Linked DNA regions of Rattus norvegicus. The protein of the gene in region 1 purifies or fractionates together with the protein of each later gene. This does not show direct contact. Links are inferred from orthologs where the notes say so. Each region holds a gene or a part of one and is shown on either strand. Other genes may lie near its edges.

Region 1 (5,667 bases):
CAAACAGAGAAAAACCAAGAAAGGCTTCAATGAAGAAGTGATATCTAAGCTGAGAAACAAACTAGGGGCTCACAATGGAAACTGTGGAATCACAGAGAGAAAGCAATTTGTACATGGTGCCGAGAAGAGATAGTGGGTAGTGGGTACTTAGGGACTACTGGTAGATAAGGCTAGCCAGATCATAGGATCCCAAGATGAGGTGGACCAGGCAGAGACTAGAACACTGATGGGGCTGAGAAGGAAAGACTTTAACTGTGAAAGTAACAGGGAGCTTTGATGAGAATTGGAAGAGGGGTTTAATGCATGCATTTTAGGAAGAACCCTGTCACTGTGGAAGGAAGATGCTACTGCCTTTCTGTAAGTGGACGACGGCTGAGGAGGGAGAAAAAGGAAAGATGGAGGAGACATAGGTTACTTCAAGACACAAAGGGAAGGCACAAAGCTCCTGTCACTCTGGCTGACCTAGCTGGTACCACAAGCCCAGTTAGGGCCAGCCTGGAGGATAGCAGCATGCCCCCAGCTAACAGGGTACAGTCCTGGATCTCTGATGCCACTGGACAGAAGCAGGAGGCAGCCTGGAAGTGTGGCATAGGATCCAGGCCACCCTCCTGGCTTCCTGCCTAGCCTCCCTTTTCAGCCCCAGAGAGAAGGCTGCCCTGACAAGCCCTCTTTGCCTAACCTGAAACCACAGGGCACCTCTCCCTCATTCCTGATGCCCACAATTCCAGCGACCAAAAAGATAGATTGAGCCAGAGCACTCAGTGGGATAATTACTGCCAGGTGTGCTCTGCACAGAGACACCCTACACAGACCCCCACTGCGTGACTAAGGAGGTAGGCAGGGAACTGGATCCACTCCCTAGACTGAAGACAGAGGGCTGCCACCTCCCTTCTGCCCAGAGCTTCTGAATCGATCTCTAATTGTAAGAGCTTCAAAGGTGCCAGGAGCTTGAGAGGTAAAGAGACTTACCCAAGGTCACACACAGCAAGTAGCAGAGACAGAATTTGAGTCCATGTTGCCCCTGGCTTCAAGTTAGCCCCTAGGGCTTTACCACACCCCCTCCAACCCATCTTCTCTGATTCCCAGATAGGGGACTTAACCTTCTACCAAGTAATACGCGATCATTAGTAAGATCATGAAGCCAACGGAGAAACTGAGGCTCAGGAATGAGAATAACCTGCAGTAGGTCTCACTCTCAAACATTGATCCTGACAGTCCACTACTGTGGTGATTGAGGCTCTCACGTTTATTCTCCAATCAAGGTGATGGGGTGGGGAGTGCAAAGGGTTCGATCTCAAAGTGGGGGAAGGTGGGAGGGGTTGAGAAAGGTCTAAGAGGCAGATACCAGGAGGTCAAAACTGAAGCTGAGCAGGGCAAGGCCAGGACAGCTCACGAGACGCCCCAGCGGGGGCGGGGCCGTGAACTAGATCCCGGAGGCTCGCAGTCTGGGGCAGGCGGCCTGGAGTCTCTCTCCCGGCCCAAGGCAGCAGCGCGTGTCTCGGCTCTGCTTCCACCCCGGGCGGCTCCCAGCTACCCCACGCCGGGTGGCGGGAGCCAGGGGAGGAGGAAACCCTGGAAAAGAGCGGGCGCACGCCCGCTGGAGGGGATGAGGCCTGAGGTCCAGGCCTCAGGAAAGGATGGTGGACCACGCACACACACAAGCACACCGACACTCCGTCAACAGAGCACACGATGCGATGCACTCGCGGACGCACAGACACAGGCACTGGACACACATTCAGACATACGAATGCACACACACCCTTCATAGGACACCAGGCTCCAAAGCACACTCAGGCACACGATCACACCGCAGGCCGAGGGGGAGCCCCACGCACACATTTACACGCGCACACACACGTCCGCACGCGCGCGCCCCGCTGGCCGGGAGGCCGCACAAAGTTGCAAAGCAGACGCAGGCAGCGTCCCCAGGAACCGCGGCGTCCCCAACGCCTCTGGCGGGCTACGATGGGGACGCTGTCCCGCGGCCTCCAGCCAGGCCTTGCGGGGGCCCCGACGCCGCAGCCCCGCCCGCAACCGGGTGCGCCCCACTGCTCTCCCCACCCGGGCGCCCCGCGGCCCTGGCGCCGCCTGGGATCAGCCGCCAGCCAGCGCCGCTTGGAACTTGCGAAACAACAAACCGCCCGAAATGTCGGAGTCGGCGGCTACAGCCGCGTCTCTCCCCCTTCCTTCCCTCGCCAGCCGCAGGGCCGCCCCAGCCTCCGAGGGATGCCACCGCGACAACTTGTTCCGGCCCGGTGCGCCACGCACACGCGCGCGCTATCACACACACACACACACACGCACACGCACACACACGCACACACACACACCCTCGGTTCCCTGCCACACTCGACCACGGCCCAGGAGCACCCCAAGCTCGCAGCGTCCCTAGCCACGTAACCACAGCTCACCGACACACTCACATCCACTCTAAACACGCTCCCCCACACGCATTCCCCGCATCTCTGACATTCACTCGGACCCATACAGCACCGTACACCCCAAACACTCCCACAGGGTCACTCGTGGGCACAGCGCACAGATACACAGGCTCCAACCAGGTTCCCACGACTGCACACGCACACACACTATACACACGTTCCGGGGCCCACACTGGGGCAGGATCCACAGAGCCCTCACAGCACACGCATAAACAAACACGCGGGTTTTCAAATGCACCAGCACCAGCACTCCCGCCTGGGGAATACAAAACAGCCTACAAATGCAATACAGTATCAAACGCAACTCTAGTCAAGCCACAGAAACTCAGACCCACAACCCACTTGGCAGCGTGGACAAACATGAGCCAGCGCACACCCGGTGCCCCACGCAGGCGACACACCAGCACACTCGCATCCGCGGTACACACTCAACCTCAGCTTGCACACAAACTACAGACACAGAGGCCACAGACACTCATGCGACCACAGAGAGCATGCGACCGAACGTCCCGCACTCCAACACCGGCGACCAGCCATCTCCGGCCCCTCGGGCACTCGCGGGATAAGCTTGGAGGGACCGCGCGCGCTTACCTGCGGGAGTCTCGGTCTCGGGCGCGCAGAACTGGAAGGTGAGCGCCAGGACCAGAGCCTGAGCTCGGGCCATGGCTGGGGCGCCGCCGCCTGGGTCCTGGAGACCGGTAGCTGGGGAGGCGACGCCTCCGGAGCCGAAGCCGGAGCCCAAGGCGAGCGGGAGCGGTAGCGGAGCAGCGCCGCGCGGAGCGGGACTGGCGCCCAGTCCAGAGCGGGAGCCCGAACGAGCGGGGCGCTGACGTCAGGCCCCCGGGTGCGAGTTCTGCGGTCTCGAGGCGTCCCCTGCTGGCGGTGTCGCGCGCTGCGGCCGGGGTCCCTGGGCCCGCCGGCCCCGGCGCGCCCATCCCCCACTCTCGCACCGCTGGTGCCCGTAGTTAGATCCACGTTCTCAGCGCATTCGTTGCCCACGGCTGAGACTGTAGCCCAGGGACACTTGGCTCCTCTGTTCCCTCGGTTGCTTAAGTTCTTCCTACCATGACTGCTCTGAATACACATTCACAGCTCCCTCCAAAGACACAACACTCACACTTCATCTACCAAAACGTTGGGCCTTTGGACTGTTGCCCTTTACTTTCAGTAATATGAAATGCACCTCTCTCACTAACGCTGGTGCCTCGTACGGTAGCCTCCGGCTACTCAGAACAAGTAAATCTGAACTCCAAGGTTTTGCACAACCACCAAAAATAGTTGTCAGTGACTATGTAAGACCAGGGGCCATGTGTGCCTCTCTCTCTGGGACTCTGTTCATCTTAATTATTGTCCTACGGGCAACACACCACGCTAGTTCCATTACACAATTGAAAAAGTTGAGGTTGTAGAGCATGGCTTTTTCAAGATTATGTATCAGTAATCTTGAAATCAACACCAAGATCTGAATCAAGGTTACTGGCTTGAACTGTGTAAAAAAGACAAAACAAAACCAAAAAAGACTCACATCTGGAAACCCATTTGCTTCTCAAGTACTGACTAGATACGGGCTCCTTGGTTCAATGATGACTGTAGGCCACCGAGGACATTAAAAGAACAAAGACCTAATCTCCCGGAGCTGGAGAGACAGCTCAGTGGTTGGGCTTCCATACTGCTCTTGCAAAGGATTCAGGATGGATCCCCAGCATCCTTGTTCAATGGTTCAGCCACCTTTAACTGCAGCTACAGGGTATCAGCACTTCCGGCCTTGTGGGGCACAGCACTTGCATGCACATAGACACAAATATAACTTAAAATTTTAAATTTTTTTTAAAAAAAATCTCCACCCTCATAAAGCTTACATTCAGGAAGAAGTGTGTGTGTGGGGGGGTGGGGGGGTGGAATTCACAGTAGGGGAAGTGGACTGCTGCACTTCTAAACAGACTGCCTGCTATGTGATTGATTTGGTATTTATCCCCATATTTAGAATTCGAGCTCCCCTAGAGAAGCTTTGTCGTGTCCCCCCTCCTCCCCCGGCCTGGTATCCCGCATACTTGATGGGTAATGACTTAGTGGGTAACTAATAAAGGAACGCTTACAGAGATGCTTCTTCCTTTACTAACGACTTCATTGCAACAAATATACATATGCAACTCCAGTCTGAGACATGAGTCCTCCAGGAAATGATGTTCCTGCAACAAGGAACACTTAGGGACAGGGTCCAAGAGGCCTTTGCCAAGAGAATGTGGCCCTATGCCACATGGTCTGAGACCTGAGGAGCCAGCCTCAAGCAGACCAATTGGAAGGAACGCTACATCCAGAAGAGCTAGCCTGGGCAAAGATAGGCTGGTGGGTCTAAGAAGATTAGGGAGGTTGGAATGGAACAGTGAAGAGGAACGGCAGGTGTAGCTGGAGCAGTTGCCGGGGCCTGCAGACCATACAGAGAGCCGAGTAAGGGAGATATTTTGAGTTAATAAACACGAAGAAAAGGATAAGTCACTGAACAGTCTTGAGTTCTGATTTATTACTTTCATTCCCCCAAAAAACTAATGCACAGAGACATGGGATGAACGCAAATACAGGTCCCGGCGTATGGAAGCCCTCCCAGCTTCCTCCCGCTTCCCTCCGTTGGCTCACACTGAGGCTGGCACACTGAGAAGCTACCCTGAGGCTAGCCAGGGAAGAACTGGGTGTTCCTGGGCTCCTTGGCTCTTCTCTTGTCACTGCTGCTCAATTCCTGGGAAGGGAGCAAAGACACAAAGCTATCAAGGACCAGAGCATTAAACTGAGAACCACAGGGAGACACAGGTAGAGCAAAGAAAAGCGATAAGCAAGATAGAAAGACATCCTGAAACAGAAAGAGATCGGGCAACCAGGAGCTGGGTGTGTGTTGGGGGTCGGGGGCTTGGAGAAGTTTTGAGGTATGGACACTGAGAATCAGAAAGCGTAATGTATTTGCCCAAGGTCACACATTCGGTCCATGAAGATGTCAGGATTTGAACCCAAATCTGATCGATTCCACATTCTTTTGCTCCTTTGGCAGGGGGCGGCCTCAGAGACTACAGTAAATAAGGCATGCCAGTGTTAGCAACAGGTAGGCAGAGGAAGAGAGCATTATTCCCCTCTACTTTAAAAAGGGCCACAAACTTCAACAATCCTTGCAAGACGAGGAAAGGCAGGTCCTGGCTTGGAGTGACTGCCCCAGATCTAGGGAGAAGGATAGGGT
Region 2 (5,015 bases), on another chromosome or scaffold:
CACACACACACACACACACACACACGCACACAATGAAAAAGACACCTTTGATAATACATTCTGTTAAAGAACTTCCTGATAAACTCACTCAGGAATTATCGGATTCTCTTTTTCTTTTTATATGAACAATTTCACAAGTGGCCCTTGTGTATGAATTTTATTAAAATCTGAGGCCACAACATATTTCACGTGTAACAATCAAGTGTCTAAAGAAACCAACTGCGCGTGGGTGAATGGCTCAGCAGATTAAAGTGACGACACCCACGTGAAATGCAGGGCGCAGTGGCCTGCCTCTGTCACCCCAGCGCCCACCCTGGGGTGAGGTGGGAAGTGGAGTTAGCAGGCTCCCGGGCAGCTAGCCCAGAGCACACAGCACAGCAGGGAAACAAACACAACAATGTTGGATTAGGCTTCTTGGCATTTCTCTAAGTAAAAATACTTGGATCACATATAGATCACTGTTACAAATCAGCCTTGCACTGCCGACATGAAAACACACTTTTTTTTTTTCCTTTTTTCTTTTTTTCGGAGCTGGGGACCGAACCCAGGGCCTTGCGCTTGCTAGGCAAGTGCTCTACCACTGAGCTAAGTCCCCAACCCCTAACGCATTCTTTTTAATGCTATAAACTACAGCCAGACTTTGAATCTCACTGGGGCTGTTATAATTTAAGTTCACCATGCAGGCGATGCAGAGAAGCTAGATGGTCTGTATGAAACGTACTCAAGTCCGTTCCCTTGGCATTTAGTAGCTGCTGCATCTGTGTCACCCACGGCCAGGACTGGGTCCCCAGGAGGCCTTCCCGCCCACCGTCCCGTTACTTGTCTGTGGTCACTGTCACACCTCATTGGCATTTGCCACCATTATCTTCAGCTCCCAGCCATCTGCAGCCCACTGATCCGCCACCTCCTTTTCTGAACAGATGATAAAATTATCAAAGTAGATGTCAGGAGTCATGGACCAAAGCTCTAAGCCCAGAGCACTGAAAGAAGTCAGAAGGAATGGGTGGTCATCTTCAAAATAATCCGGGTTAGGAATTTTCTGAGGACTCCAGATTCCCTGGAAGAAACAGCAAAGGAAACTTTTAAGTAAAGTGATGTTGTTAAACAAATAAAAAGGAGCAGAAGAAGCCTTTATAGTAAGGGTGGGGAGATAGCTTAGGTGGTAACATGTGGTCCCCTGTGGGAAGAAGGTACAAGGAGCTGAGTTTAGTCTCTGGCACCATTTAAAGAGCTGTGCTGTAGGGCAATGGCTGTAATCCCAGTCCTGAGGAAATGGAGATAGGGAGTCCCTGGAATCTGTCAGCCAGTTAGTCAACTTGAGTCAGAAAGATCCAGGTTTAATGAGAGACAACATCTCAAAAACAGTAAGATGAAGGGCAAGTGCTCCCCCCACCCTCTCTCTCACACACACACACACTCTCTCTCTCTCTCTCTCCCTCTCTCTCTCTCTCCCACACACACACACACACACACACACACACACACACACACACACACACTCTCGCTCTCTCTCACATACTCTCTCTCTCACACACACAGACACACCTTGTGATAAATGAATGCTACAAAGAAGGACCACAGTGAAGAATTAGAATATACAACCACAATTGTGTGTATATAGATATAGATATATATACCATCATTCTATCTGTATGTATGTATGTATGTATGTATGTATGTATGTATGTATGTATGTGAGAGAGACAGAGACAGAGATGGTTTCTCTACATAGCCCTGTCTGTCCTGGAACTTGCTCTGTAGACCAGGCTGGCCTTGAACTCATGGAGATCCTCCTAACTCTACCTCTCAAGTACTGGGATTAAAGGTGTGTGCTACCACACCCAACAAAAGATGCTACATTTGTTTTTTAAATTGCTACTTTATTTTAAAAGACTTTACCGTTTGGTTTTACCCTAGGGGTCTGTGCTATCTGTCTCTGGTTCTAGGTCACCCAAGCAGTGTTGGGTATGGGTCCCTTCTCATGGAGTGGGCCTTAAGTCAAATCAGACACCGTTGGCCACTCCCACCAAGTTCTGTGCCACCAATGCCCCAGCACATCTTGCAGGCAGGACAAATTGTAGGTCGAAGGTTTTGTGGCTGGGTTGGTGTCTGTGTTTCTCTTTCATTGGCCTGCATAGTACCTTCCTGCAAAGAGAGACTGAAACGTAGGGACGAGAGCTCCAAGTAGGCACCAGCCTGACTTCTCCATGCTCAATGAGTTGTGTGGTGTCGTCTTCAGCAGTGGGACCCAGTGTGCTGAGAGCGGCCTTTGTCTCGGCAATCAATTGCCTGGGTCAATTCAGGATTTCCATGGGACCCCCTTGGCCAACAACTCAACTGAGTGTGCCCTGCTCTCACCTCTGGGAGCCTTGCCTGGCTACAGAGATGACCAGTTGGGACTCTGTACCCCATTACCAGGAGTCCTCCCTAGGGTCACCTTCATAGATTCCAGGGAGTTTCCACTGCACCAGGTTTTCATACCATACCCAAATGAACCCCCAATCCCAGTCACCTCTCCCTTCATTCTGTCTCTACCCCATCACTCCCCAGTCTGATTTCCTCACTCCTGTCCCCACCCACCCCCCAGTCCACCCATAAAAATCTATTCTGTCTTCCCCTTTAGGGAGATTCATGTGGTCCCCACCCCAGACCCCTTCCTCTTTCCTAACCCAAATTACTCAACTTTTTTTTTTTTTTTTTTTTTGGTTCTTTTTTTCGGAGCTGGGGACCGAACCCAGGGCCTTGCGCTTCCTAGGCAAGCGCTCTGCCACTGAGCCAAATCCCCAACCCCTCAACTTTTTAACTTCATAAAATTACATGTGAAACTTCTAAAAGCCGCAGGACACTGGTGAGGATTAGAAGAACCAATCCAACCTTACTACAGAACTGGGCAGCGCTTATCACCTGGTAGTTAGGGTTATTGATCATCGGTGGTCTCCAGATCCCTTTGTATTTTGGGTTATCTATCATGGGAGGTTTCCATTCTCCACATCCGATCTGACAGGCTGGGTTAGGAATGTGTGGCGCCTCCCATTCTCCATCCATGCTGTCACTCCTGAAATGATTGGAGCAGAGGAATCCATTATCTCCAGTCTTTGTAGGAAGCCATGAAGAGTAAGCCATCAAGAGATCTCTGGCACTGTGTGTGGAGCTGCAGAGCGCTTACCAGTCTTCGGGTTTCTCAGCTTTAGGATTGGGGATAAATTTTGGTTCATCATCGAGCCAGCCGTCAGGCTTAACAGCACTCGGGTCTTCGATTTGTATGGGTTCCTTTTCATCCCTGAAGACACATCAGTACAGTAATGTAACGCGGCCCATGTTCCAGGCACACGTCGCACACCTTTTTACACAAACGGTCACACTGCATACATGGCACACTCAATCTTGCTTTTGTCACTCGAACTCAGTCAGCAAAAGTTACGCACCGGTTGCTCTGTGATGTGGTCTGCTTTCTGTGTTGAAGGCTCAGCTCCCAGTGAGGTGAGTTTAATGGTGAAGTGACTGGATCATGAGGGTTTTGATTCACAGATTAATCTGTTTTCAGATTTCTAGCTTAATGGGTTTCAAGCAGGAGATTTCGTTATAAAGCAATCCCTCTCTGCTTCCCTGATGCCAGTGTTTCACACCATGCTCCTTTCCAAGGTGCCGTGGCAATGCACCCCCAACAGTGGAGCCTGGTACCTCTGGATGAAATGGCTGATACTGAGCCTAAGGGTTTCTTCCTCGTGCGTGGACTCCTGAGTGTTTTTTGTCACAGTGAAGTCAATCTAACCCAGACACTTCATACCAAGGAACGTGTGCATTTCCCCAACCACCCCTACCGTGTGGTAGGTTCAGAAGCCTTTGGAACAGGTCTGTGTGGGGTGAGCTTGGGAAAGGCTCAGCATAGACTCAGGCTAGACAGGAGATGCAGAGAGGGATGTAGATAGTGAGGCTACTCCGGGCTATCCGGGATAAGGCATCTCCAAGCTAGGAACACGCAGCAGTACAGGTGCACACCCAAGCCAGTCTTCTCTCTCTGGGGGCCTCATTTATTTTACATTAAGAGGTCAGCCCTTTGTTGACTATATACTGTAAAATATAACCTTTCCACTTTCTACTTTTTCAGGGTTTTAAAAGAATTCATTTCTCTGTATGTGTGTGTGCGTGCACAGGAGGGCACAGACACGTATGCATGTCTGTGTGAATGTGTACTTATGCCACAGCACACAGGAGGCCAGAGAACACCTTATAAAAGCTGGTTCTCTCTTCCATGTGGGCTCCAGGGGTGAGACTCTGGCTATGAGACCCAGTGGCCATCTCAGCAGCCCTCATGTGTTATAAAATAAATGTTTCTGGTCCTTCCTTTCCTCCTCTCCTCTCCTCTCCTCTCCTCTCCTCTCCTCTCCTCTCCTCTCCTCTCCTCTCCTCTCCTCTCCTCTCCTCTCCCTTCCCTTCCCTCCCTTCCCTTCCTTTCTTTCCTTTTTTGTTTCCTTTTCTTCTTTAGACAGGATCTCATGCAGCCCATGCTAGCCTGGAACTTTCTGTATGGTCAAGAATAACTTAAAGGCCCTGACCCTCCTGCTCACACTTTCCAAGTGTTTGTAGCACGGGGCCTGGCCTTTAACATGACTCAATTGTTCCTTTTGCTATATACAAATTGTATGTATGTTTTCAAGCAGCTAAATTTATTAGCCTTTTATGATTTTTTTCTAACTCAGTCATATTTAAAAAGTCTTCATGCTTTCCATATTCACACCTAGCGTTTTAATTTAAAGGCTACACTGACTTAAGACGAAAACCCCGAGGAGCATGAACACAGTGTTAGGAGAATGACCATGATGGCTCTGTAGTGTCACTTCTCGGAAACATGGACGCTGTGACCCCATCAGCTCAAGCTGCAACACAGACTAAACCCCTTGTATTAATGCACAGACTCCACCAACCCAACTTCAGGGTCAGTCTCTGAACACAAGCCCAGCAAGCAGATGCTGGCCCCAATTCTGCTAACGCGCGACTCAGCCAACCAGACCGCA
Region 3 (5,015 bases), on another chromosome or scaffold:
AGGAAGGGAGCAAATAGCTCTTGGTCTTATGAACAACAAGTAGAAGAAGTTAAAGTGACCCATGGGGGACATAAATGCAACACTTTCCTGACTCTTAGGGTTATAAAATACCACAACAGGCTGCCGATGGAGTGTGCGGCTTTGCTTTTCTTTAGACACTTTCTGGAAAAATCAAGCACTCGTTAAGACTTAGTGGTACCAAGGAGAGTTAACTTCAGCTCCATCTCCACAGGAAGCATCATTTGATAAATTTCATACTAAATTTTTGCCTTGTGTGTGTGTACATACATTTAAACAAGAGTAGGAGATTCCCAAGCTAAGTAGTAAACAAATAAATTTCCTAAAGAACACCAATCCTAAGACTGATTGTCAGAAACAACTGTTAAGCACCCTGCCTTAATTTAATTTGACTTGAATTGGTTCATTCCTCTGGTAGAGAATAACTTATCAGCCTGTCCTTGCATCCTTCATCAACAGAATTCATCCCTATGCTTACTACATTTTTTTTTTTCACTCTAGATCTGAGCCTTGAGCAGAGGTAAGAATTATGTAGGAAAGAGTCACCATCGTGGCCAGGTTTCAGTAGTGGTATATGTTTTTACCAGCACTCAGACCAAGTGTGGCAACAGTGTTAGCATGAGTCACAGCTGTCTTCTGCATTTATTCAGGGATGGAGTTAGCCTGTTGGAGCAAGGGACTGTGCTGCTTGCTATAGCGTGGTATGACCAAGCAGTCTGACTGAAGTGGCATCATCTAAGAAGTCTTACCACCTCCCTCTTCTTCAGGGATTCCTTGGTCCTCGGCTCCCTGTGCAACATCATTCTCCACAGCATCAGAATGAGCTTGCTGCCTGTCAGGGACCCAAATTCGGAGATAAACAATCAGCCAGCACAGTTTGACAAAGGTCATTTATCTTTTAAGACAGGAATAAATAAAGATTTCAGCTTTTAGAATAAGCCATAACTTGTTTCTGAGATTTAGACACATAATAAAGTGTAATCGTGATACCAGCTATGTTTTCAAAGCCTTTAAAAAATAAATTGTCATTCCCTGATGAAATTAAGTTAGAACTGCGGATGCTAGGCGATTTTGAGGCTGCTTGCTTTTATTTCACAGGAGTGTGCAATGTGTGTGCACGGAAGTCTTGTGAGAGGTGCACCAACATGCAGCATACCACGGGGTCGGAAGGTAACCCTGCATGGTGTCCTCGTCTTCAACCATGTTTGACTCAGAGCCTGACTTTCTGGTGTTTGCTGTTACGTACTCCACGCTGATTGGCTGAAAACTTCTAGAGATTCTCCTTGTCTCCATCTCCCATCCTGATGAACTAGCCCAGAATTCCAGACTGTATGCCACTGTACTTAGATTTGCATCGATTCTGGGGATTTGAACTTAAGTGCTAATATTTGTGTGGTAAGTCCTTTATCACCAAGCCCTCTTCTCAACTGATAACTATCTGATAACTATTGCGTTTAGACAGAACAAAAATTATGCTTAAAAGTGAGTATCTAGCATTTAATTCCCTAATACTTTTTTTCTATCTTGTCTCCATGGGCAATATAAGTTTGTCTTCTTGCCATACACTACACGTACACAATGCTGATTTGACAAAAGAAGAAGGACTGTCTACACCCACCAGGGAAAGGGGCAGGCTACCTTAGCTGGTACTGCTGCTGGCCTTCCTCATGGTCTGCCTGCTTCTGCTGAGCCATCTCTCTGGCCAGGTACTGCTGCTGCTGCTGTTGTCGTAGCAACTGTCCGTGGAGCCTCTGTTGGTGCAAAGCTTCTTGATGTTCTCTCAGCCGCTGGGCTTCCTCATCTCTCCTTGCTGCCAGCCTCTGCTGTTCCAACTGCTCCTCATATGGGGACCGGAAGTTTGTAGCTGCCTTGGTTGAATGCTCAATCTAGAATAGAAAAGGTTCAAGCTGAGCTAGGAGCGTTAAACCCTTCACTTGCTTGGCAGGACAAACTCAGGAGGCAGGATAGGCTTCTCAACACTTTATATCAGGTAAATGCCAATTGTACATAAAGCCTAAGAACTTGTAATTTCCAGCTTTTTCTGAAAGGACTTGGTCTTCTTCTGGACCTGTCAGCTGGAAGGTGGCCTTTCAGTGTGCTCCTGCTTCAATACTACAGGGCACAGCACAAGAAATCAGTTCCAACCTTAACTAAATTCATGCTTTTAGGTTCTGAATCAAGCTGGTAACCCCACACTAAATGCACAATGTGTGAAGCTAAGGCTTTGTATAGGAATAAAGGTCCAAGGATGCTAACTCCAAAAATGTATGTTAGTCTCAGGCTAAAGGAAATGTCAAATTTCAGCTTATACTACTGATTCAGAGGAGATTAAAGATAGAGACAGAGACAAAGAAAGAGAGTTGAAAAGGAGAGAAAGACACAGAAAGAGGAGAAATAGAAAAACAGAGACAAAGAGAGGAGGGAGAAACTCTCTCTCTCTCTCTCTCTCTGTGTGTGTGTGTGTGTGTGTGTGTGTGTGTGTGTGTGTGTGTGTGTGTGTGTGTGAGAATGCCTCAAGAGTCCTTCTTTATGTACTATTCACCTTGCTTTTAAAGGCATGGTCTCTCTCTGAAACCTGGGCTTTCTTGTCAGGCTAGGCTGGCTGGCTGGTGAGCCCCAGACACCTGTCTATTTCCCCAGTGCAGGACTATAGAAACATACCACCACACAAGCTTTGTACACAGCATTTGGGATCAAAATGAGTTCATCCAGATTTTACTTCACTGACTGACCATCTCCACAGTCTCATTGTGTCATTATCATTATTATTACTGTTGCTATTATTATTCTTTTATTAGTATTTTAAACTAAAGCCAAGCTCCCCATCAGAGAGAACTTCTAGTGGGCACCCATGCACCTCAGCTTGAGGGCGGCCATCCAGAAGGTGGGCTGCATTCTGTCTCCGCTGATCGCGCCACTCTCGATCCTGCTCCTCTGGTGATGGGTCGTGTTCTTCCTCTAGATGCTCTGCCTGTCCCACCTGCTCCATTTCCTCCTCTTCCAGTGCCTTCCTGTGTTCCTCTTCCACTTGACGCCCCTCAGGCTCTCTGGGTTCTACTTGGTTCTGCTCTTCTAGAGCCTGAAATCCTGCTTCCTTCTGCATGGATGACAAAGGTTTCTCTTCCATTCTTCTAGGCATCGCGTCATGGTTCTGCTGCCCCTTGTTATTTCAAGATAAGCACATCATAAGACATGACACTTTTCTATTTCAAATGTGGTGACATTATGCTTCTATTACCACATCTAAAGGGCTACAGCATAAGCAAAATCCTGGAGTCTAGAAATATACACAGCCATGACTAAAAAGGAAGAGAGGTGCGAGGAAGCTATTTCATTCTCACTGTGTCATCTCACCCTAAGACATAAATAATCCAGGCAAAATTTTATCTCAGAGAATGCTCAGAGACCAGGAAACTGAAGCCTACCAGTAACCATTTATTAGGAACGCACGTCCCTCAAAGGCAATCTGACTCCAGCTCTGCTTAGACTAGAAAGGAAAACAAGCAAAAAAAAAAAAAAAATAGAAACTGGAAATCCTCAATCCTGATGCTTATGAAAGCTGCTTTAAGGTCAGTTTCTTCTCAACAGATATTTTAAAGGACTGGGATAAGCTTTAAGACTCAGTTGAAGAAGAACTGGGTTGCTTTCTCATTAGCTTCACTTACTAGTCAGCAGAAGGGGCTTGCACTACTAATGGACATCCATGGTTGTACAAAATAGTTTTAGCTAAGCAAGACACAAAATATTCTTTGTTACATTTCAATTTGTGCCAGCCAGTGTGCTTGTGAGTGCCCAGACACATAGCTGTTTATGTTGGGAGAGCATGTGGGAGTGTGTGGGAGTGTGTGGGAGCATGAGGAAGCTTGTGCGAGCATGATGTCAGCCTCAAGTCACATTTCTCAGGAGGCCTATATCTTGTGAACTGAGACACGGTCCCTCGTGAGGACTCCAGGGTCATGAATTAGACTAGATTGGCTGGTCAATGAGCCCCTGAGATCCTCTGCCTTTCCTTCTCCAACACTAGAATTGTAGGCACACCCCACATAAAAATTGGCCTCTATGTTGGATTCAACCTAGGCTTGTGGCAGACATTTTACTGAATCACCTTGCCAGGCCATCAAATATTAATGAATCTTGTTTCATCGTTTTGTACCAAAGGCAATCTGTCCATTTATTACAATAAACAATACAATTATAGATGATATTAGTATAATATATAATAAATTGACAGGATAAACACTGTCAAAACAGAAAACTAAACCACGGAAATAAAAACTTTTAGAAAACATCTTCTGTAAATGTGTTGAGTCTAAGCCATATTTTCCAATCTTTCTTTAATCTCTGTTAGCTTGGAGGATGAAACACTCATATGAAAATCTGTGGTGCCTTTCCCTTTTCCCTTTTCTTTATCAAGAAAAGGTACTTCTGTGGTCAGATTAACTTCTTATAATTGAGATGGCTAGAGGACCACACCATCGGCAAATTTAAATGGGAAGTCCTCTATGAAGGGAGATAATTATCACTCTTGTAAAAGTCAAGAATGTAAAGCATGGCATGGAGAGAAAAGTTCTTCCTTGAATATCTGAGACCTTCTAGAGGTGTACATTTGATGAAGTCCTCTGGCAAGTTTGCCATAAAACTGCATTGTAGAAAATGTTTTCCTCAAGGGCTCTAAGGGCTTTCAAACACCTGCCATTTATCCCCACTCTGTCCTTGTGAGGAAGGTTAGAGCAGATAACTTCTATCTCCCACTCCCAGTTGGAGCAAACCAAGCTCTGAATCATTAGACAGTGATTCCAGTAAGCTGGAAGCCATACTAGCAGAGCAGAGAATCAAATGACAGGCCTGCTCTCCTAGTGTGCTGTCGGAATTGCTGGATATAAATCCCCACCAAAAACCGCATTGCAAGAACCCCAAGCCTGTTTTTGAAGGAATGTGCTGTTCATGCTGAAAACATTCATATTGCAAGCTCGACTCATGTTGACTTCATTATCCCC

What was found.
Region 2: the proteins of Ptpru (region 1) and Clgn purify together in Homo sapiens (affinity purification with mass spectrometry; 3 studies listed by BioGRID and IntAct, with this or other methods). This does not show direct contact. The link is inferred for Rattus norvegicus from reciprocal best matches to the Homo sapiens genes PTPRU and CLGN.
Region 3: the proteins of Ptpru (region 1) and Golim4 purify together in Homo sapiens (affinity purification with mass spectrometry; 3 studies listed by BioGRID and IntAct, counting the BioPlex papers as one, with this or other methods). This does not show direct contact. The link is inferred for Rattus norvegicus from reciprocal best matches to the Homo sapiens genes PTPRU and GOLIM4.

The regions. Positions count from the first base shown.
Region 1 is NC_086023.1:149,305,603-149,311,269, forward strand, and holds the start of Ptpru (receptor-type tyrosine-protein phosphatase U precursor 1 precursor), read right to left. Parts: upstream 3,232-5,667; 5' UTR 3,109-3,231; coding exon 3,036-3,108; intron 1,803-3,035; exon of another isoform or gene 1-1,802.
Region 2 is NC_086037.1:41,604,584-41,609,598, forward strand, and holds part of Clgn (calmegin precursor), read right to left. Parts: intron 3,281-5,015; coding exon 3,167-3,280; intron 3,056-3,166; coding exon 2,905-3,055; intron 1,058-2,904; coding exon 842-1,057; intron 1-841. UniProt on the Homo sapiens protein: Functions during spermatogenesis as a chaperone for a range of client proteins that are important for sperm adhesion onto the egg zona pellucida and for subsequent penetration of the zona pellucida.
Region 3 is NC_086020.1:162,954,317-162,959,331, forward strand, and holds part of Golim4 (Golgi integral membrane protein 4), read right to left. Parts: intron 3,179-5,015; coding exon 2,876-3,178; intron 1,905-2,875; coding exon 1,657-1,904; intron 851-1,656; coding exon 768-850; intron 1-767. UniProt on the Homo sapiens protein: Plays a role in endosome to Golgi protein trafficking; mediates protein transport along the late endosome-bypass pathway from the early endosome to the Golgi.